Linked DNA regions of Oreochromis niloticus. The protein of the gene in region 1 purifies or fractionates together with the protein of each later gene. This does not show direct contact. Links are inferred from orthologs where the notes say so. Each region holds a gene or a part of one and is shown in the gene's direction. Other genes may lie near its edges. The genes, in order: srfb, mrtfab and myocd.

Evidence for each region.
Region 2: the proteins of srfb (region 1) and mrtfab purify together in Homo sapiens (affinity purification with western blotting; 4 studies listed by BioGRID and IntAct, with this or other methods). This does not show direct contact. The link is inferred for Oreochromis niloticus from reciprocal best matches to the Homo sapiens genes SRF and MRTFA.
Region 3: the proteins of srfb (region 1) and myocd purify together in Homo sapiens (affinity purification with western blotting; 3 studies listed by BioGRID and IntAct, with this or other methods). This does not show direct contact. The link is inferred for Oreochromis niloticus from reciprocal best matches to the Homo sapiens genes SRF and MYOCD.

The regions. Positions count from the first base shown.
Region 1 is NC_031978.2:24,478,224-24,485,286, forward strand, and holds the start of srfb (serum response factor b), read left to right. Parts: upstream 1-4,000; 5' UTR 4,001-4,482; coding exon 4,483-5,133; intron 5,134-7,063. Other genes in the region: ptk7b (inactive tyrosine-protein kinase 7), read left to right, coding at 1-141, 230-390. UniProt on the Homo sapiens protein: SRF is a transcription factor that binds to the serum response element (SRE), a short sequence of dyad symmetry located 300 bp to the 5' of the site of transcription initiation of some genes (such as FOS).
Region 2 is NC_031973.2:22,379,991-22,387,367, reverse strand, and holds the start of mrtfab (myocardin related transcription factor Ab), read left to right. Parts: upstream 1-4,279; 5' UTR 4,280-4,547; intron 4,548-4,629; exon of another isoform or gene 4,630-5,113; intron 5,114-5,196; 5' UTR 5,197-5,258; intron 5,259-7,377. UniProt on the Homo sapiens protein: Transcription coactivator that associates with the serum response factor (SRF) transcription factor to control expression of genes regulating the cytoskeleton during development, morphogenesis and cell migration.
Region 3 is NC_031973.2:26,309,343-26,317,261, reverse strand, and holds the start of myocd (myocardin), read left to right. Parts: upstream 1-4,873; 5' UTR 4,874-4,961; intron 4,962-7,919. UniProt on the Homo sapiens protein: Smooth muscle cells (SM) and cardiac muscle cells-specific transcriptional factor which uses the canonical single or multiple CArG boxes DNA sequence. Acts as a cofactor of serum response factor (SRF) with the potential to modulate SRF-target genes.

The DNA.
Region 1 (7,063 bases):
GCTGGCTCCCAACAGAGTCTGTGTTTGAGGATGACTTCTCCACCAAGTCGGACGTGTGGGCCTTCGGAGTGTTGATGTGGGAAGTATTCAGTCATGGGGAAATGCCATACACCAAACTGAGCGACGACGAAGTGTTAGAAGGTGAGTTTGATGCTGCAACACATTACTGTCTTTACCCCAGGAAGAGGGGATCGCTCTTTAAAAGGCATCTCATCCCATTTTTCTGCAGGTCTGCAGGCAGGAAAGCTGAAGCTACCCCTTCCGGACGGATGCCCCTCTAAAATCTACAAGCTGATGGTGCGCTGCTGGGCGCTGAGCCTCAAAGAGCGCCCCTCGTTCACCGACATCGTCCACGCCCTGGGAGAGCTGCCTTCTGACAGCAAAGTCTGAAGTGACCAATCATCTCACAGCAGAAAGGAACTGTTACCAACTCTGCCCCGCCCCCCTTCCCCTAAAATACAGACAGGAATGCTGGATTATTTAGTCTCACACATTTCAGGGAAGAGGGTTGAGGGGGAAGAAAAAAGAAAAAAAAAAACTTTAATTTTTTATGCATTTCAACAATTTTTTGAGTGTGGATTAGACTTGTTTGCTATATGAGTGGAACTGCACTCACCTTTGTATGAATGGCTTCGTGCGAGCAGTGCCAGGAGTTTGCCTTCACTGCAGCACGGACGATCCTCCCCCACCTCCAGCCTGTGGTTCCACTGTGACCCCGCCCGTCTGCGGCCGTTTTCGTTTCACGGAGCCTCACAACCTCAGTGCCTCTGCCCCTCCACACACACACGCACACACTCACGCACTCTCTAACTTTGTAGGAATGATGGTGCATTCGCTGGCTCTGATTAGTGCGAAGGATTTGCCTGAAATGTCACGTCACCACTTAACTCCTTGGAGTTTTCTCATTAATCTAAAGAGGATATTGAAGAGAAAGTGGGGCACAGTGGGACTGCAGTGGAGCAATGAAGCCTCTGTAGATAATCAGCCACTTTACGAGTGTGCCGAGTGAGGTCGTTTAAACTGGTCTGTTCCCCTCGCAATTACATCGAGCTGCATCCTGAGTCCGCCACCCTGACCCCTCAGATGTCTGCTCTCTCTCCACCGGGTACAATCCCTCAAATTGTTTGCTTTTGTGTGTTTGAGTGAGTGTGTGTGTGTACATGCACTGAACTGTTGTCCCTACAGACAGATAAGGAATGGGGGTTTGCATGAAGGTTTGTGGAAAACAAGTAATCCGTGTTACGGTAACACTTCAGGAACAACAGCAACAAAGAAACAAGTTTTATAGCCAAGGAACATGTTGAACAGATGAGATCGTGCCAGTGTGGGCTTTATACATTTTTATAAGTGTGCTCTGTTTGTCTGTTAACTTTGAGGTGCTTACAGGTCACTGCTGATGGGTAGGAGTACTCATTTTTACCACACAAACACCATTGTGTCCTCTCAGCTGCAGGAATTGAACCCGCCGCCACGTTTGACCTGCTTTATTCTCTCCAGAGGTCCAATCACAGTTTCTCTCCTGGTCCACCTGTTTTGTGCAATGCTGCGAAGCGGACCATCACACCAGGCAGTGTGTACATAATGTTAGAAGCCTTGCACTAACTTCACTTAAAAGATTATCCTTTTTATATATATATATATATATCATGTTGTGTAGAAGGACATGCAGGTGCCTGGTTATTTATGATGAAGGTCCTGTTTTTTTTTAAACTGTAATAGAAAGGTACTTCTGTGAGGTAGTTTATGCTATGTATTCATTCTCACGGTCCATCTCGGTGTGCGTTCAGTCTGGTAACCGTCTGGATACGCTAACACAAAGTACAAAGGAGGTCAAAAGAGTGACCGCAGGTCACCAGTGCTCGTTTAAGTGCCTAGTAAATGAAGGATTATCTTAACCGTTTCCCTTTTTGTTTGTTGTTGTTTTTACATCATCTAATCAAATGCGATGGCCTTTGTTTATGAACCTGTTTTTATACGTTGTTTTTAGTGTAATATTTTGTTTTTATGAATGCTAGGCACTCACAACTAGACCTCTTTTTCTTTTTTTTAATCTGCTTCAGCACATGTTCACAGTAATCACAGATATATACAAAAGCATACATGCTGCTGTCAATAAAGGTTCACAGTGTTTTTACCCAGTTTGTTGTGACAGTTACTTTAACTTCTTAATATTTTCAGGTCAGTGTTTATGCTGAGGCTGTAACAAATATTTGAAAAAAAAAAAATGTGGTAATTCAGCTGTAACAAGTTCACCCAAATAAGGTGTTTGATTTGTGAGAAGTAAATGCCTCGTTTGTGTATTCAAGCGAAAATATGTTGTAAATCGTGGAGCTGGTGGCTTCTTCACTGATACAAGAGTGTTGTGTGACACTCTCTTCTTGCAGCCTGCATTACAACAAAATATGAGGTTAAGAATAAGTGATGAAATCTTCAATGAGGTGGATTGCTTATCTCTCGCAAGTCTCTACAAGTTATATACACACACAGATCATTAAAGTGTGTGTGGTAGTGGTGGGGGCGGGAGGAGGGGTGTGTGTGTGGAAGCAGAACTAGAAGTATTTGTACTTTATAGTGTTGGGCTGTAGTTTGTTAAACCACTTGTATGACCTTGTAAAAGTACATCCAGCACTACTTTTTTCTTTATCCAAATAAAAAGTCTCTGTTGTAGCCACTAGAGGGCGCTGTGCGGTTAGGTAAGGATTAAACCTGACCCTTGAGGCTTGCCAAACATTTTTTCCCCATTATAATTTGTTTACAGTTTAATGTGGTAACTAGCTTTTAAAGAAGTTTCCTCAATGGGTCTACGTGCTCAGTGAGTTTTAGCACTTCCTCAGTCGTTATGGGTCTCCTCCAAACTTTGAGCACTGTGCACTCTGTGTGTGTGTGTGTGTGTGTGTGTGTGTGTGCGCGCGCGTGTGTGTGTGTGTGTGTGTTGGGGGGGGACTTCGCTTGAGATTTGCACACAGCACCGTGCGCATGTCACTTTTTGGGCCTCGTTCGGTGCGCGTGACATGCCGAGAAGCAACACTGAATAGAAATGAGTCTGTTAACGCAATAAATGTCTTTCCACTGCGGTGATATTATAACAATTTTCCGAGTAAATCTGCGTTTCACCGAACTTTCGATTTTGTAGTTCACTTGCAATAAAAATCCCCTGAGCATCCTGCCACTGAACCATCTTCAAATGCCTCAAAACTCTGGCGTTTGTTTTAACTTGCCCGTAAGACCAGGTGGGTGGAGGTTGTTCCATCGTTTCAAACAGCACACCTAAGTGCCTCTGACTGATTTCCCTCTGATACTTTTTTTTTCTTTTAAATGAATACGGATTACACGTTTCAAAGAAAGCCTAATGATGAATGACATCAGTTTAAGCTGGTTTGTCCTTGCTGTCAGGTCTACTTGTAGAGGAGGAAGCCATCTCTGACGACACTGGTAACACATTTTACTAAGAGGGCTGGAATTGGTGCAAAGGTGAACAAGATGAAGCAAACAGACAGAGAATGCACCTTGCTTAACAGTGGCGTTATTAAAAAGTTGGTAGGAAGCAGCAGGCTTCATACTCAAGGGAACTTGCTTATTACAGTTACATTCCCTGTGCAAGTCGGTGTGCGATAATCTGGCACCTTAAATTATCTCATATTGCTGAATTATCTACAGTAACAGTGCTGCACACATGCGCTTCAGATAAAAGGAGATTATATAGTTCAACTTCCGGGAAAATGGGAGTTTGCTGTGTGTTATAGGCGCTACAACCTGTGGGTAATTAAGATAAATAAATAAAATAAAAGTTGGATGTTTTGTTATGTTGGTGCCTCTTTACTTCTCCACGGTGACGTTGTCAGTTAGCGCAACCATTTTGGTATTTATTCTAATGAGTGTGCTTCGCTGACCAATGACAGCACTACTCAGATAATCCTCAACCAATCCGTACACGACGCTGTGACTCACCAAATAAGGAGAGACAGCACCAAATAAGGAAACATTGTATCTCTTTATAAGGAGGGAAGTAGTTCCTCGGCTGAGGTATTACTCCGCTATCGCTTGCGCTGTCTTAAATTTTGAGGTTTATGTTCGTTTGTGACACGCGGAAAGAGAAATACTGTAACATTATCTGAGAGAAACTTCGACTTGTGTGCGAGCAAATCGACACTAGAGCTATTTTCGGTTCACAGGGCGGACTAGGTGACGTGGCGCAACAATATGGAGGTCGCTCTTCGCGCTTTCCTTTTTGAGAAAGTGCTCAGAGTTTTGGAAATAGAGGAGGAGGGTGAAGCAAACTGAGCCGGGGTTGAAGGGTCTTGGGGGCAGCATCACTTTCGAAAGTTTGTCTCGGTAATTTCCTGGAGTCTCTGAACCATCATTTGGTCGGGTTTGTTTACATATCGTGGCCCGGACGTGTATGCGTTTTATCAGTCATTTACGAGGCAACCGAATCCAGCTTTCTTGGCTGGTGTTTAAAAAACTCGCTCCAGTAAATATATAATGTTACCGAGCCAGGTTGGATCGGCACCATCTGGAAACGGCTCGGGTTCAGGCAGGGGTACAACACAACACGGCTCGGGGTTGGTCGGCAGCGGGATTCGTCCCGTTCTTGTCAGATCAGGGCAAGCTCTACCGGGGGTCAGCGAGAGTACCGGTGCTGCAGGGCGACAGGGGGACAGAGATACCATTGGGATGCTGGGAGCTAATGGTCCAGGGGGTCCGAGAGGTGCGAGGCCGGGGAACGGGACCGGTGTAAACCCTCTTCAGACTTCCGTTCAAAGCAGCATGGTGGGCTTAAGTCCAGGAGTCATGTTGCCTCACGGAGCCCGCTTCGATCCGGACCGGGAGAGTGCGCCTCTGTGCAGCGGCTCAGATAACGACTCGGACTCCGGAGATGATGACGAACCCGTGGGTTCACTTGGGGACAGCAGGAGAGGGGTGAAGCGGGAGAGAGGGGAGATGGAGGCTGCGGTGTCGGGACAGGAGGTAGGAGTATCGCCCGGAGGTTACAGCATGGTGCCCGGAGGGGTCGCCGGGGCAAAACCGGGCAAGAAGACACGTGGACGCGTAAAGATAAAGATGGAATTTATTGACAACAAGCTGAGACGGTACACCACATTCAGCAAGAGGAAGACGGGCATAATGAAGAAGGTGAGTCAGGTGATGCGTCTGGATCTCATCCAGCTGCGCCAGCGTTTGATTTGAGAGTCTCTTTTAGCTGTTGATTGGCCTGGAAGTACAGCAGTGTCACACTGTAGGGTGCTTTGCAGTCATTCATGGAAGTGCACTTGTTAATAACCTTTAAAAAAAAAAAAATCACAGCACCCTGGGACAGTGTGCATCTGTTATTACAATAACCACAAGAAAGACTTTGGGTTTGTTTTTGGGTTGTTGTTTTTTTTTTCATGTGAGCCTACATGCTGCTGACCTGATGTCAGTCTTGTGTCAGTGTATTTCTTATGAAAGACAAAGCCATTGTGGTCCAGAAGTGACTCAGTGGATGTGAGGAAGTCAGAACATTCATGACAGCCACTGGGCTTTAAATAGAATAGAGCAAATGACAGGTCTATTTATGACACCCCCAATCTCAACTATCACACACAGAAACTTATAAACTGACCCACTCATTCATGCATGCATACCTGCACACATACCCCCACACACCTTCACAGACATCCTTGCAACTATTAGATGTTGTTCTCATCACAAGTCACAGCCTGTTCCCTCTGTCACTGCTTACAGGCGGCAGCCATGTGGCAGTAAGCAGCAGTCGGCCTGTATGTGCCAACAGCTAACAAAACCCCAGGGAAACGGACCAAAGAACGGTCAAAGAACACTGAGACAGAAGCGAGAAGCCTGGGTTGTGTGGTAGTGGGGGGGTGCTGTCTGTCTGTGCATGCATTATGGTGCTGTACATTACACAGACGTCCAAGTCTCACTGATGACTTGTCCTGGTTTCCACTTTTGTCAGTTGACTCTGGCTCATAAGCAGGCGACATTAAAGATGACAAAGCTTGCTTCTCAGTCATAACTGCTCCCATTACTGTCTCCTTAAAGCAACATTTCTGAGGAAATTCACAGCTCACCCACACGATTTGATGCCACAATAAAACACCACAGTTTGGTATAGAGTCACGGAGAGTGGATTACTTGAGCTGGGGTCAGCTGTTGACCACAAGCCCAGCAGTTATTGTGATGTGGACTCGGCCACTTTTCATTATGACTTTAAATAAACACTTGTAAGCGGTGCTTTATTGGAGTCCAGGAGTTTTTTTCTCTTTCCTTTAACTTGTCCCTGTGTTTCTTCGATACGGCTGCACCATGCGCTCTGCTGTGTTTCTCTCTTTTTATGTATCCCAGACTGTTGTCGTGGAAACTGAGGTGTCTTTATGTAGGCTCTTGGCAACATGAACACTATTTGACACAGTGTGGGGATGGTTTTCTTTTCTCTTTTCTTTTTTTTTTTTTTGAAAAGGTTGCCCACACTATGCCAGCCATCACAGAAAATGACAGGTGGGTGGAGTGGGAAGATTCATAGATTGGTCTAGGATGAGCCCACTTTCATTTTGAAGGATGCCGTTAGTGTAGCACAGGCCTGTTTGTTCTCTTCTTATGTGTGCCTCAGCTTGCAGCCAAACACACCCTGTTAAATAATTACGTCAGTTTGAGGTTCAGGGTTACTCAATTAATACTAATATGTGGCATATATGATATGACTTTCTATAGTGGGAAAAGCAGCACAAGTGGTATGAAGAACATTAGGTGTGACTCAGCTCAGGTGCAGTGCTGTGGAATGGCCTCGGCTAAATGGAGCGCGTCCATATATTCATTATGCTATTTCTTACACCTAAAGTTTTTCCTGCTTTGATGAGTTAAATGACGAATCATTCTTTCATTAAATTGAAATGACATTACATTTTTAAAAAGTTGCTTTTGTGCCTTTAAGTAATGACTTCATGAATTTCTTCACAAATAAAATTGTAACCATTGGAGAAATAATAACTTGTCAGCGTCACACACATTACTTGCTCCAAACCATCAACGTCTTTTAGACAGAATTCCTACAAGACTGCTCAAGGAA
Region 2 (7,377 bases), on another chromosome or scaffold:
GGCATCGCAGAGACTGGAGGATGATTTTCAAACGATCTCATCAGAACTGGCGACACAGATCAGGTGTCTATGTTGTGAATTTGTAACGTAATATACTGAGTTCTTCACCTGTAAATACAGACCTCATTGTCTGGTACGCGAATGACTTGGCATTTACTGTAAAAGTCCGTTTCGAAAGTCTGTTTTCGAATTTGCATGTGTACTGTGGAATAACATTTGTGCTTCTCCTCTTGCTGTTTAGCTTTGCTGATTTTGTATTCAGAGAGGATATGAAAATGAGAAATGCTACAGAGCAAAGAGCAAACAGATTTCCAAGAAGTGTGTACGTGTTATACAGTTTTAAAAGAAATACATACAAATAAATGTAGACTTACAATAGGTGAAGGTTAAGAACTTGATGAAAAATGGAGGAGCTGAACCTGAGGCACAGGTAAAAATGAAAGACTGAGAAATGTTTGAGAGAAGGAGGGAGGCAGAGGAAGCGGCAGCCTCCTCTGCTCTACAGTTGCCCAAACACTTCTTATTCTTGTGAATCCAGCTCCACAAACCTTAACTGTCATCTTTCTCTTTCTTGTTCAACTCCTTTTCTTTATATTTTTTCTTTTTATTACTATGAATTCTTTTATCTTTTTTTCTTGTGCTCCACCTCCATCTGTTCCATCTCCCTTATTTTGAAAACCCTGGAGCATTTTGGGGATGTTCTTTCTTAAACAGCATTCCTGCAGCTCCTAATTCTTCTGCTCCAGGTTTTCTTTCTCCTTTTCAATTACTTCTTGTCATACTTTGCCGTACTTTCCCTGCCCTTTGTTATACATATGTAGAAGTATTCCTTCTTCTTCTGCCTCTTTTTACTCCTTTACTATTTTTTTAGTCTGGTCTTCATATTTTTGCTGCAGTTCCTTATACTTTTGTCCCACTTCTTTTTTCAGATGCAGTACTTCTTCTATCTTCCAGAAGTTTTTGGACTAACACATTCACGGTCTTCAACCTTTGCTGTAACAAATCCCCCTCTGTGTTTTATATGTATGCTTTGGATCACTATCTGCTTGGCCAAATAGCTGCATTTTGCAGAAGGTATTTTGGCAGACGTTTAGGTAAATATTTCAATGTACTGCATAGGTGATGGAGCATAGGTGACGACACATTAACAGACAGCAACAACTGTATGCTGCAATGGCGGATGATATCCACGGCTTTTTCATTGGCAAGACAAATGTCATTTTGAAACGGGTACACCTTAATATGACAAAATGGTTCATAATGAAGTAATCAGAGACAGGCTGGTTGTAGGGCTCGCTGATATACACACCAGCACATGTAACTGGATGAGGATCTCGTGCTAATCAGTAACAGTAAAACAACAACAGAGTGACTTATGTAGGAATACTGTGTGAAAAAGAGAGACATGCTTGGTAGGTAGAGTAATGAGCAGAGTCAAACAGACTTCTTTGTTTTTGTCTTTCAGAGACAAAAACAAGTTAGGGAAATAAACACAACTGTGGACATGTAGAGACAAGCAGAGTGTTACAAATGTGGGGAAATTCCATTATAAGCCAAAGAGTAAAGTGTAAAACATGCAATATTATAAAAGAGTGTGTGCTTCATTAAGAGCTGGTGCAAGAAAAAGATGGAAGCATATTCATTGGGAGCATAACAGGAAAAGGAGATCCACTGACTGTGGATCTAAAGCCCAAGGACAGGACTATCACATTTAAAATTGACACTGATGCTGATATGACTGTCATTCCTGACCTGATTCAATGTGATGTTCATAGATGTGAAACCAACTCTTGAGAAAGAAAAGAAGCCCATAAGGTGGTATACCACTGAGCATCCTACGGTTCACAAACTTAACACTACAAAAAGAAGAAAAACCAATAGGTTTTACATCTTTGTGATCAGTAACCGGCACTCTCCTGCTCAGGGCTAGTGGACTCAGCTAGTCGCTAGTGGCTAACAGACCCAAGTCATGAAAATGTATCAGGACGGATGGCTAGAGAGCAGATCATTAAAGTTTGGTAAAGCTGCACTATGCAGATGCCTGCTTTATTTTGCATGATGGCCTCTAGTTAAAAAGGGCATAAGTGGTCATTCCTGCAGCTTTAAGAAACGGTGTCCTCAGCAGGCTACATGAGGGGTAGCTAAATGCATGCGGAACATGCGTGTGAGCCAAAAGGAGCCATTGCTCCCAACAGATCTCCTGGAGAGACCCTGGAAGGAGGTGAGGGCAGACCTGTTTACACTCAAATGGAAAATGTACTTGCTGTTAGTGGAGTGTTACTCGAGCTATGTTGAAATGGCCAACCTCCACCACATAAAGTTTGCTGATGTCACTGTCAATCTGAAATCAGGGTGCCTGAGATCTTAAGGACTGGCAATGGGCCACAGCTCTCAGCGGGTGTCACAACGTTTTCTGATACATACAGTTTCAAACATGTGAGCAGCAGTGCACAGTTCCCACAAACCAATGGGGAGGCTAAACAGGCTGTTTAAAAAAGACCAGATCAGTACTTCTGCATATCTTGTCGTCCCACTTAAAAATGTGTTTCAGCCCAGCTCAACGTCTGATTTGGTGCCAGCTTGGTTCCACTGTGCTGACCCAGCAGTGCTTCCCGACAGCGCAGCGGTCATCGTAAAGGAGAAAGGACAGAATGAATTCACATCAGAGATTCTTCAACAGGCATCACTGTGCACAGGAGTTCAGTTATCCCCCTACGTGGGAACAGGCGTGGTTGAACTGCACTCTAGTTCCTTCCCTACAAAAACCAACACCCGGACCTTTTCCAAATAGCACCACAGTCATAACTAAGTCAGGCAGAGCAGTTTTGAAACCACAGGACTGGACTGAACTTGTAAACAACTGCGCAAACAGAGATTATCCTTAGTTTGAAAGCTACTGCATTATGATGAAACTTGGGCTGTTGCTGGGCTGTTGGGGTAAAAAGTTTGTTATCTTCAAAAGAAACAAAAGAGCAAAGCTGCGTTCAAGTTAAGAATCTATTCAACAGTAACTAAATCCAAAGTGAAAGATTTTATTTCCTCCTTAAAAAGGGAGCTGGTGTGATGTTGGTTATGTAAGGAGGCCCAGAGGATTCTGGGTAATGTTGTTTTTATTGTAGTAGGGGGCTCCAGTTCTAGTAGTCTCACATTCAGAATCAGAATCAGAAAGACTTAATTAAGCTAGAACAGAGCAGCATGACGTTGAAGATAAGGACAGGGCATTAACAGGCAATACGAGTGAGATAATAAATACACAGAATATACAGTTTATACACAGTTTTAAATACACAGGAATTAAGGGAGCCTTATACAGTGAAGACCTATAAAATATAACTCAAGACTCTGAATCAACTTCATACATGAAGTCTGCTTCATTTGTCAGGAAATAACAGAACAGTCCTCACTTTTCCATGAAACTGAAGTACCTGTCGTTCAATTATGAACCTCTGAATGTCAAAGGCTGGAGATACACAATACACAATGAAGGTAAAGCTGAAGAACTTAAAATCCATCCGGGGCCCCTGATTGAAGGGTGTCTCCTGGCCGGGTGGATATCTAAGGAGCAACCTGATTGATCCTGCCAGTAGCATGTGCTTGTCTCAGTGATTAAACTGTGCATGTCTAAGTACACGTGGTGATTACAGTGAAACTGTGAATGGTGCATGAAATCCCTTATGGTTCCTTTGATCGCTCAGCCATTATTTGAATAACAATGGTAATCCGAGGGCTAATAAGTATAAAGTATAAGGGAAAGCTAGATAGAAACCCAGACTTAGAAATCTAAGTGCACCAAGATAATTAAACAGAAAATCTGGGGCTATGTATAAAAATGGACCTTATATTATTTTTATTTGGTTTGCAGAAAAAGCTTTACCATAAAATAAAACACTGATTATTCTACAAATATAAATCCAAATAATCTGAATCAATAACTACATTACATACATCAATAAATATTTTTTTTATTTACTTTTATCTAAACGCATCTCTGTTTGTCTTTCAGACTAAGAATTGGTATGTCAGTTTGGCTTTGTTTATTAAAAATCACATAAAAGATACATTATTGGATTAAGAATATTACAAAGAAAAAAAGATTGTAGCATTGCAAACTTCAGACCGAAGTGAAAATCACATAGAAAAACGCGCTTCTTTATTTTAGAGATATAAATATAACGCTAATACCTGTAGCTCCGTGTGTCCTGAAGTACACGCAGTTGAACACTAGAGGGAGACAGAGACTGCGCATGTGTGACAGAAACAGTTCTCAGAAGTGCAAACACACTCTCCACTTCAAGTTAAACAGCATACCTATTTTTGTGGCGAGGGCAGTGTTTTAAAGGGATATGCGGACAAAGCTCCGCTCTTTTATCTCCTGTTACCGAAGCGGGCTGAACCCGTGGGAACGGCGTAGCGAAGGAAGTGGGTCTCTGCGTCCCACGCAGAGGAGGGTTTTCCGGTCAAAGTTTCCTTTGTGATTCGGGGGTGGCGCTGTGATGCCAAAGGCGTTTATCCTCACAGACACAACACACAAGTGGCGAACATTATGAGTAAGCATAAAAATACAAATTCATGGTTTGGAGTTAGAGCAGCATCTTGATTTCTATTCAGCGAGAGTAACAGCGTGGCAGATAACTGATCGTAGGCGTTAGCACTTAGAGGTGATGTTGTTATGGCATGCTAACGGTTGCTAGCTAACTTGGGGTGTCTGTGTCTGCAGTCAGCAGGGGAGCCGAAGAGTTTTCAGCTGAAGCCGGTGTCAGCGTTAAATACTTTATTGTTGTATTTGATAGCGTTTCACGTTCAGTGTGGCGCGTGTGTCCGCTTTTCTATAGCAGCCCGACTTTGGCTCGCGTATTGAATGTTTAGGTTCACTCCCACCCAGACAGGCTAACAATAGCTTAGCATGCCTGTGTGTTTTGGACAGTGACAGCTGCAGGCTGCGGCCCCATGACATCTGTGGAAAGGCCTCCTGAAACGTGGATTTCTTTAGCCCATCTTATCAGTTGTCATGAGTCTTTTTTCAAAACGTCTTTTACTATTGTAGATCTTTTTTCTTTTCTTTTTTTTTCCTGCACATGCCCTGGTTACTGTGATACAGCTGCTCAGCATCATAGTACGTACAAGTAGTGGATCAGAAGAGCAAAGGGGTATAACAGACTATTTGTACTGAAGCTTTGCTCTTATTTTGTTTTACAGGACCGTTCAAAGCTCTGTCCTCCTGAAATGGGAAAACCCCCCTTCCAGATTTTGTAACACAGGTAAGCAACAAGCCTTGTTCACATCTGGCCTAGTTTATGATAAGCCAGGTTGCAACCACATCCTTTTACCTGTTTGCTGGGGAACTGAAAAGCTCTTGTAATTCTTGGTAGCTGGTTTCCTGTGACTGATGGTGAAACAGCCCTGGCTGTCAGGACGTGTGTGCCTCGCAGTGTGTACCAGTGTAATGATGATGCATATCTGAAAGGCTAGTGTGGGCGTGTAGGGAGGAATGCTTCCAGTGTGTTTCAGCATTTGAATGTACTATTCAGCAGAATAGCACATTATGCATGTTTGAACAGCAGCTGTTTGCTGGGGAAAGTAGGGATGAGGCAACTGTGAAGATCTGTCATCCTTCATTCGTGATTTGGAGGTTAATTTAATGTGTGACACTTGATATTTAGGTCACTGGCTTTATTGTATTAAGCTAGCTTTTGTGTGAGGCCTCGACAAAAGCTGCAGACATAACGCCTCGCAGTTTTTCTCACCTGTTGTCGAGGAGATAGGCATCTCAGCGTGGTGTGCTGAAACAAAGATCACACATCAGATTGAAGAAGCAAGTGCATGCATTATCTTGCGTGTCTCATCGTGTTGGCTTACGCTGTTATTGAGCTCATGTAGATATAGCACTAAATAATTTCTTTATACAACTATTTAGTCTCAATTATTGATTTAATGTTATTTTAGCAAGGTTTTCTGAGCCTTTCTAAACCAGTTTTCTGATTTGTTTTCTCTGGGTGAGCAGTCAGGCGGTCTAACTAGACTAGTTTTGGCTGTTGTCATCTGTAAAATGATTCCAAATCTCTTGTGTGATCAGGTCAAAAAGTCATTGTTAAATATCAGGTGACTTTGACAGCTGGACAGAATGGTGAAAAAATGCTTATGCAGTTTGATTTCTGTCTGTAACATGTATACGCACTGATACAGGGTTATTTGGACCAGCTATATAATTTGTTTAAATAATTGTCATCTTATTAAATCATATTAAATTATAACATTTTGCTAATTTTTAGCTGTATTTTATTAGGTCTGTCATTGACTAGTAATGAGAGAATCTGGTTTATAATTTGTAAAAGTGGGTTGTGTTAGCCTGTGAGAGACCGGTGACCTGTTTTTCACCCTTTCACAGCTGCGTTAGACCCTAAAATGAGATGGATGGATGCTCTGTATAAGGTGCAGATACTTACTGAGTAAAAGCCTTGTGCCAGATAAATGACTGAACAATATGTTTAGTTGTTTCTTTAGAGAATCTCTTGTCCATGTGTCGAACCCCCGACTCTAGCATCTTGGACAGCAGCTGCCAGCGTGAACTCGCTCAGATGGATGAAAAAGTAAATTAAAGTCTATTTGTGAGGAAACTCAGCCCCAGAGATCAGAGAAGACTGATTTTTAATCCAGTTTTAACGACTCAAAATTATTATTTTCCATAAAAAGTAACACTATTTACCTACATTCTGATAGGTTCACAATTTTTTTTATCTCTCTGCTTTAATTGACTTAAAAATAACATTTGTCTTCTATCAACTGCTATCTAAGTGTTTTATGTTTGTCGCGATCAAACGTGCAGTGATCCAGTGAGATCAAGAGAAACTTTAGTGTCGTGCGGTTAGTGTGTCGCTATTCAGACGTGTGAGCTTGTGTTTGATTGTGAGAGAAAGAGAGGAGCAGCATCTCAGACAACACTGCCTCATTGTTTGCAGCCCCGCTGTGCAGTAATGACAGAATCCCCATCAGAACCCCACAGCTAGAAAACACATATTTGCAGAGAGCGCAAGAGGGAAATCAGCACACAGCACAGCGGCAGGTCCTGCCTTTGTAAACAACCATTAGCGAGTAGCTGTCAAAAGTTACCGGGCCTGCTCAGTCCAGAGGAGTGTTTGAGAAAGGAACCAGTTACACCAGGCTTGTGCCAGTAAATCAGGAAAATCTCTTCCATGACATGGTTTTGAATGGTTTGACTATTCACAGGAAGGTTAGCCTTCAGGCTTCGCTTCTTCACACGCTTAACCAGTTTGCGGTATAAATGTACCTGCCAGTCAGAAAGCAACAGCAATTTTAAGAATTTTTTTTTTGCCCCCAACCATTACGCCAATGAAGTGTGAATCGCATCAAGTGCACACT
Region 3 (7,919 bases), on another chromosome or scaffold:
CAGCTGGCTGAAACCTTTGCAGTGTTTCTCCTCACTCCTGAAACTAGCCTACCAAGTCAGACAAGAAAGGAATCATAAATTAGTTTCTCTTGTAATCGCTAAGCCCTGGCTGGCTGTCCCAAGATGTCCTCCTAGATTTAAAAGCAACAGCGTAATGTTTATGTTGGCTGCAAGAGAATATGCATCAAACTTCATTTGATGTATTAAAGACACTCCTGGACGTTGTTTACACACGCAGGTGAAAGCTTGGGAGATGAAATCCTATTTTCTCCCTGTTTGATGTCAGGACTTTGAAGGCCAAAATCAATCTTAAAACCAGATAAGAGTTTGGGCTTTGGGGGTTCATGGAATCACTGTGTGCTTTCATGTATTTTGGATATTTTGCTGGAAAATTTGTGCAAAAATGTTTGACAGCATGTGGATGAATTCCTACCATTTTGACTTTCAATTTCCCGTGGAGCTTTGCAGCTACTCGAGCATATGGTGAAAGGTCAAGTGAATGTTATAAAACAGAACAACCCAACAAGACTGCGTCACATAAATTCTCAGCTAAAACATTAATCTAATTCATTAGTAACTGATCTTTTTTTCTTTCGGTATTATCGGTGAAATTCGAGTGAGTAATCATCTGGTGGACTGTATTGATAGCAGTATTAATGATAGATAACCCAGCAGAAATCCTTTCACTGCTCTTTGAGCCCTAAACCTCATTTCAAAGGAAAACAGTGTGCTTATTTTGAAAGTCATGCCTGTTGCGGGTATCGCACTCCGCCTCTTCTGTTCCATCTGCGACTCAGGCCACGAAGTGTGATGAAATCTGTTTTGAACGCTCATTATACGAGTTATGTCATGAAATATTCATGTCATTTGCGTAACATGCGATCAGCATGTTTGCAAGTCTTCTATAAATAAAAGATGCCGCTTTTCTCTTTGTTTTGCTCAAAATTCACTCGTGAGATTATTGAAACGAAACAGCTTGAAATGTGCACATTGCACAGGTTGCGGAAAGAAATACCCTTAACATAAACATGACGTCTCCTTACATGTTGCCGGTGAATTCTTTCATGCCATTTAAAGTGTGAAATACAGTGTCATGTTTTTCAGAACAAGACCTCATATGGAGAAAATCATTGACGTTGACAGTGCTTTAATTACCACATTCCTAAATCTTATTTCATGCCTGGAAAAGAAATGTTCACATCATGTTTTCATTGATCTGTATATATTAATATTTTACATTCGAATTAAGCGAGCCATTTTCTGTGCTCCTTCATTTTAACAGAAGCACATTTTTCAAAGGAGGATTCAATGCAACATTAATAGATGTTCAACAAAAAGAGGTCAGAGCAGCGTTTGGAGCACATTTCCTTGAAGGGGCCACAAGAAGGGTGGGATTAAACTGAAAAAGAAAATCAGAAAACAGTCGTCTTAAATACAGTCCTTCTACTCTGGTATGATTTTTTTTTAAACTTGGAAATTCACTTATGTCCTTGCCTGTGCTGCCAATGTCATTTACGAGGTGGTTACAGTCCCTGCTGAAGATATTAATGCAGACCATGGAGGCATATGTGTTTAGTTAGTGGGTTTGGGTTGAACTTATGGTTATATGGTTCAGTCATTGTAAGGAGGAACATCAGAGCTCCAAATCCACAAAGTTAAAATAAATTTGTGATTTATCATATATTTAGTCTTATTTACACAGTTTTGGCCAACCTTTCCATCAGTTATTGTAACACTGTACTCATGAAAGGAACCGCTAAGATCTGGGAATGCAGAGACAGCTTTTATTCTGTCTCTCAGTTCAAAATGCAAAAATAGTTACAACCTCCAAATCAAATTATTCAGCAGATTTTATTTATCCTCACAGCTCACGTCCTCACAAACAGTCACGTTAAGCATGCTACTTCTCTGCAGAAGCTGCACATACTTGCACTGGTGTAGTGGTTAGGAGTACTTAGTTAGCTCACAGCGAGAAGCTGGGTTGGGAGCTCCTGGTTTTGGGGCCTCATTGTGTGGAATTGCCCCCATTGCCTTCCTGATTAAATTCCTCCCAAGTCCCCAAAATGGGCATCTTAGATTAAGTCAGCATTTTATATGCCTTTTTTTATGCTTTTGTATTGGTCCTCTGTATAGAACCAACCATAATCAGACACGTCCCTTAGTATAGTAAACACAAGTTAGAGTTGTTGTTAGAAATGATGGCACCAAAGAAAAGGTAAAGTTGTAAAGGTGGTACTGGAATATGTTCATGCAGTTAATCTTTTATCATCTAGCATTTAGTCATCATTGTACTGACTTGGAGTGTGTCACTGTAAATGACCCAGTGAATACAATATATACACCAACTCCTGAATGCATCTTTCTTAAACTGGTAAATGCACAGCTGCTTTTACCGAATAGTTGTTAACTTTGCATTTTTGCCATTTGCAAAGAAAAAGCAGCAAATTAAGATAAAGACAGCTAAAGAAAAAAGCTAAGGGCCTTAAAAATAAGACAGCAGGCTGAAAGACGCTAAGCTGCTCATTAGCACTTTGAAGAAGTAAAAGAGTTCAAATATCATTAATACTTCTTTTTTACGTACATTACTAAAAGCAGCCTGTTTCAAATAACATGTAGACAGCAGCTTAAAGCAGTCTGGTATGTGAAAGGAGTAAATACACACTGCGCTGGAGTTATGTGACAAATTGATCACTCATGTTTATATCCAGCCCAAGCTCATTGAGTTTATCCATGTTACATGCTGAACAACTGGCCTTGACAACGAATTTATGTTTTTCTAATGCAAATGAAGTACTTCCTTAATCCCAAGGAAGGCCAGAGCTCAGCAGAGGTGCATGTCATCTTCTCCTCTTTCTTTCTTCTCTTACATCAGCCTACAGCTCATAAGGTGGACTTGATGCACTGTGATTATTCACAACGGGAACATTTGTCAAAATGCAAATAAAGGTATACGAGTGAAAGCTTTGAGGAAACCCAGACCACCTGGCCCCTCTGGCCCTCATTACCTCCCTGCGTGAAGAGGCCCGGCACAAACATGAGCATGTTTTCAGTTTGCAGCAGCAGGAATAATATATCTGGATGTGAACAATTGTGCTTGTTTTGCCATTACACTCCAGGCTGGGCTCGGTTCAACATACCAATAGTTGCTATTACGACTGGATGACAGCAGCCTTTCTGCCCAGTCTTCAAGCACACCGCACTCACTCAAAGCTCCATGGCTGAGGTAATGCCTGGGTTGGAGGCCAGAAATTCATGCTCAGAACAGGGATACGAAATCAGATCTAAATTTAGAGGTTTGTTAAGTAGACTCTGTAACAATTCCATCAATCAAACAGTCTAACTTCTCCCTCTCATGTTTTACAAAAGAGGATTTTCTACATTTTATTGCTATGTATCATGGATTACGTCACGGCTGTGCCTCACAAGCTATGAGTTCTTCGGTGTCACATTTTAGATGCCTAACATCGACGTCATGTTTGGCGTCTAACTTTTACCCCCCAAACTTTGACATGGTGCATTTTTCTCTGTTCTCTGTTCATGACCAACAACTGAACCCCTTGTCTGTAATAGACGGAAGACAGCTGAGAGGCAGGTTCATCGCTCATCCTCTGAATGTTTTGATACTTTGGTCTTGATCTGCGGTAAACGCTACAAGCTTCTGGTAAATACCAAGCTGACTGTAAAATATTAGCCCCTCTCTTACAGGGTATCATATGAGCCTGCCTTGGGGCGTCGCTGAAAGCTCTTAATGCTTTCCATTCAGCCGCAATGCCACTTTTCCCAGGAGCTGGACTGTCTGTCAAACTGATGAGAAAGAGAATTGACATGGCAGAAACTTGGCTATACTGTGTGATCATACAGTTATGTGAAGAGATACACTTTGGACAAGTGTCCAACTGTAGTTAAAGTGTGGCTATTGTGTCAAGGCTTTTGGGCTTGTTAATTTTCAAATGCCCCACAATAATAATGTTCACTAAATATGCAGAAAATGAAATACAAAGAATTATAAACCCTATAAAAATACAAAGCAAAATAGTCTATCACAATAAAACCTATGCGAACAGAGATTCATCTAAAATATAAGGCTGTAGTCAAATGTGCTTTGGATATACAAACCGGCTTTAACTCCCACTTTTGAAGCTGTACTGGTGGATATTTTGTACAACCCATGTGCCAAATGGCTAGCAGTACTGGTACTCCAGTTTTCCACAGCATCTTTTAATTGTTTAACTCGATTTTGGTTGAACTTGCACCACTAAAGCAGTTAGAAAAAAGACACATGAAATCTAGTGGAGTTCTTTCCATACAAAAAATCCAAACTGAAGAAAACTGATGCACATTTAATTCTGATCTGTCAAAGTTAAAGTCAGCTTGGGGTGTACTGTATTTACCTTCAGATTTGATCATGTTGTAACCATGGGAACACCAAGCTCCGACACGTGTCATTATTTGGTCCAGTTTACCAGTCGTGAACATGAAGATGAACAGTTTAACACTTGTAGGTGTAAACAGAAAATTATAATTATGATAAACATCAAAGCTTGAATTGAGTTTCATGTCGTGTAAATGTGATGACACAAGCACGGGGAGGATAGTTTTGAAAATAAAGCAGTCTTTCAGTCTAAGTGATTGAACTAATTAGGCTACTGGAACGCATTAATTTCCAGTTGTTGTACGATTGCTTTATAGAAATCGCTTTTATCCAATGACCTCACTACTCTATCAAATAACTCAGAGATAAGCTTGCAGAGGTAACAACCCAGTCTGCAAACAAGAGCCCTGATTATAAATAGCTCTAAAGAGAGCTTCAGACTGCTGGGAGGAGAGAACACGTTGCTTCACACACAAACACACATGCGGTCGAAGTACATGTGGAGCAGCAACAGGGCCGGGTGAGGACAACCCCTTTGGTGGATCAGGATTACCCCGCCGCTGTATCAAACCTCCACCGACAAGTCAGTGTGAGTTATGCAATATATCTTCTCATCGTCTTTGTTTGGCGCATAGTAAAGCTAATTTATAAGAGAATTAGCATTCTGAAAATATCTGGCTTCCTTTTATTCAGGACTCAAGTTTTATAAAGCGAAGCAATCTGGAATAACAAAGCTAAAGCATAAATAACAGTGAAATAATATTGTGCTGTGTCATTCAGAAAGAATTGCAAACTTCACCTGTCCTCTGCTTGACTCGTCCAAATTCAAGTTCTTTTAACAGTTTTTGTGTCTCACTCCTACTTTGTGATCAAAGTATGATAGAAAAGGATGAAGATTCTTCACTAAAGTATGCATTGTGATACTGGCTTCAAAGGCATGGAGTTAAGATTCATAACTGTAAGCGTCTGATGGAGCGAAAAAAAGATAATAACCTCAGCAGGCATTTAAAGTGAGGATGCAAAGATGAACTTGTTGTAACGGTACAGGCAATTATAAGTTCAGTTATTAGTCATGGAGAAGATGGTAATGCTGAAACTAAAGAAACTATGAGAAAATCAACTGAGCACCAACATATGCTTCACAGGCCTTCCTGAACTAAAGTAAAATACTGCTTGATTATCTTTGTTGCCATTACATAAAATGAGATAAAATGAACTAACCAAGAACTAAAACATAGAATTGAAAAAAAAAAAGCAATGATAGATTCATGTCTTTCTGTAACTTTCCAGCTTTAATGTTAGCTGATGTTACCTATTTAAGGAAAACAAAGAGGAAGTAAATCTACAACTAAAAATATTGCAAGAAGTGGATATCAACCATCCAGGTCAAACCATTAGAAGATGGTCTGCAGGTAATATAAATAAAATGTATGCTAATCTTAACATTGTCCAGACAGAGGTGAGGAGAAAATTTTATAATTGCCCTTGTTGTTAATATCATGTTGCTAAAAATATAAATAAAAATAAGCTAAAAAAAAAAATTACACATTTTAGCTGTTAGCTCTCCCCTAGCTAATGCTATTTCAACAACAATTATATGGACAGAAAAACTTCCATGAATTAATCAAATAAAAGTGAAGAATGGCATGCGAGATGCCTTTACGGGTATCAGCTCCATCTTTCTGCTCAATTTCAGCAGAAACTGAATTTTGGCTGTACGCAACCAAGATGGCGACTACCTTCAAAACAATTAGAGTTCTTTGTTTTGGTCATTATTAACTTTAAAAAAAAAACAAGAACAACAGCAATATATATATACACACTTGTATGTACGTGTGTAAGAGTATAATAATAAAGACAAAGAGAAAATAAACACTAACAACAAATAACTGAATTAACTGGATGGAAAACCTTCCAGTGTAGTATTTTTGTAGCATCAACATCTTTAAAACCAGATTTTACCAAAAAACAAACAAACAAACAAACAAACAAACAACCCCCCCCCAAAAAAAAAACAAAGAAGAAAAAACAATTAAAGTTCAATAATCAAACTGAATAAATGGATTTTCAGTAATAACTGTATCTCAGGCTTTTATTTATTTTTTTATTATAATATTATTTTTTATTTTCGGATTTTTAAACCTTTTGAAAAAAATTGCATATTAAACAATTAAACAAACAACTGTTATTCATGAGCTCAGAAAAAAAGGCCTACATCTTTATTTTTTTAAAGTATATTAAAATATTATATTATAAAATATATATATAATATATTAATAACAAAACCAAATCTGTTAAATTAAAAGAACACTGTGTGACATGTTTAACTTTTCATATCTACAAGGGGGGATTAAATATGAATGAGCAATAAATGTGAAGTATTGGCAAAGCAGTTGGTTAAACTTATTACATTCAGCCATTCTCATAGATGCTAATTTGAAAGTGTTGCAGAGCCTGCATCTGGTCAACTTGCCTGTTTTATTAAACTGATCAGAGCTGCTGTCCCTTCTTCAACATTGTCAGAGCTTTCCTTGCTAATGTTGAGTTATTACCAGCTTTTTCAAACCCCATGTTGTCTACATCACACATGTTGGGCAACGTAGTTAACAAGAGGAAGCTCACCTCATATAATGGGAACAAATTTTATATAATGGACACAAGCGATGGCTAAACCTGGGACAGTAAGAAGCCTTCCTAGCTTTAATTTATTTCAGCTGATGTATTTGTCACAAGTGTGCAAATACCATTAAAAAAAAATCATGTTTAAAACAGGTAAATTTATAATGAGCCGATAAATGCTGGTGAACTTAAAAATGAAAAGAAATGAAAAAGATCGTTATTCTGGCAAAAATACCTTTGTTACCTTTCAAATTTATGGATGTGATTAAAAGTTACCAGTACACTCTGGATTGCATTAAAACAGCCAACAAAGGAAGGTAATGGTATAATTCATCTAAGAGAAATAGATTCCATTTGAATACACCTTTAAATGCTGATGTACAGAATTTAAAATGTCCAAAATGGACTGGACAAATATTCCAAATCTGATTATTATTAGTCAAAAGTAAGTCGAGCAGTGAGTCTGTGTAGACATATTGGCTTAGGTGAATGTTGGGGTCCAGGTCTGAGGCCCAGTCAGCTCAAGAAGCAAAGGAGGATTGTTTATAGAAGCAGAGACGTTCAGGAGGAACGTATCTTCTGGGATGATCCCAGGAGCCGGACCTAATTAGAAACAACTGCTTGAAATTCACTTCAATGGCTACACAGATCTCTTTTTATGTTGCTTGGCTGGTCTTGTGCATTCATCAGCTGCACCTCGAGGCTCATCTCCATCTCTTAAGTTCCCCCTGGCTGCATGGTGTTTGTGGATTTCATGTATGGTAAAAAGAAATTTAAAGCCAGCCACCTAACTCCCCAGCGTTATCTCTACTCTCCCTGCACACACACACACACACACACGCACGCAGCTTACACACAGACACACACACACACACACACACACACACACACACACACACACACACAGAGAGTATCTCCAAAGTCTTGT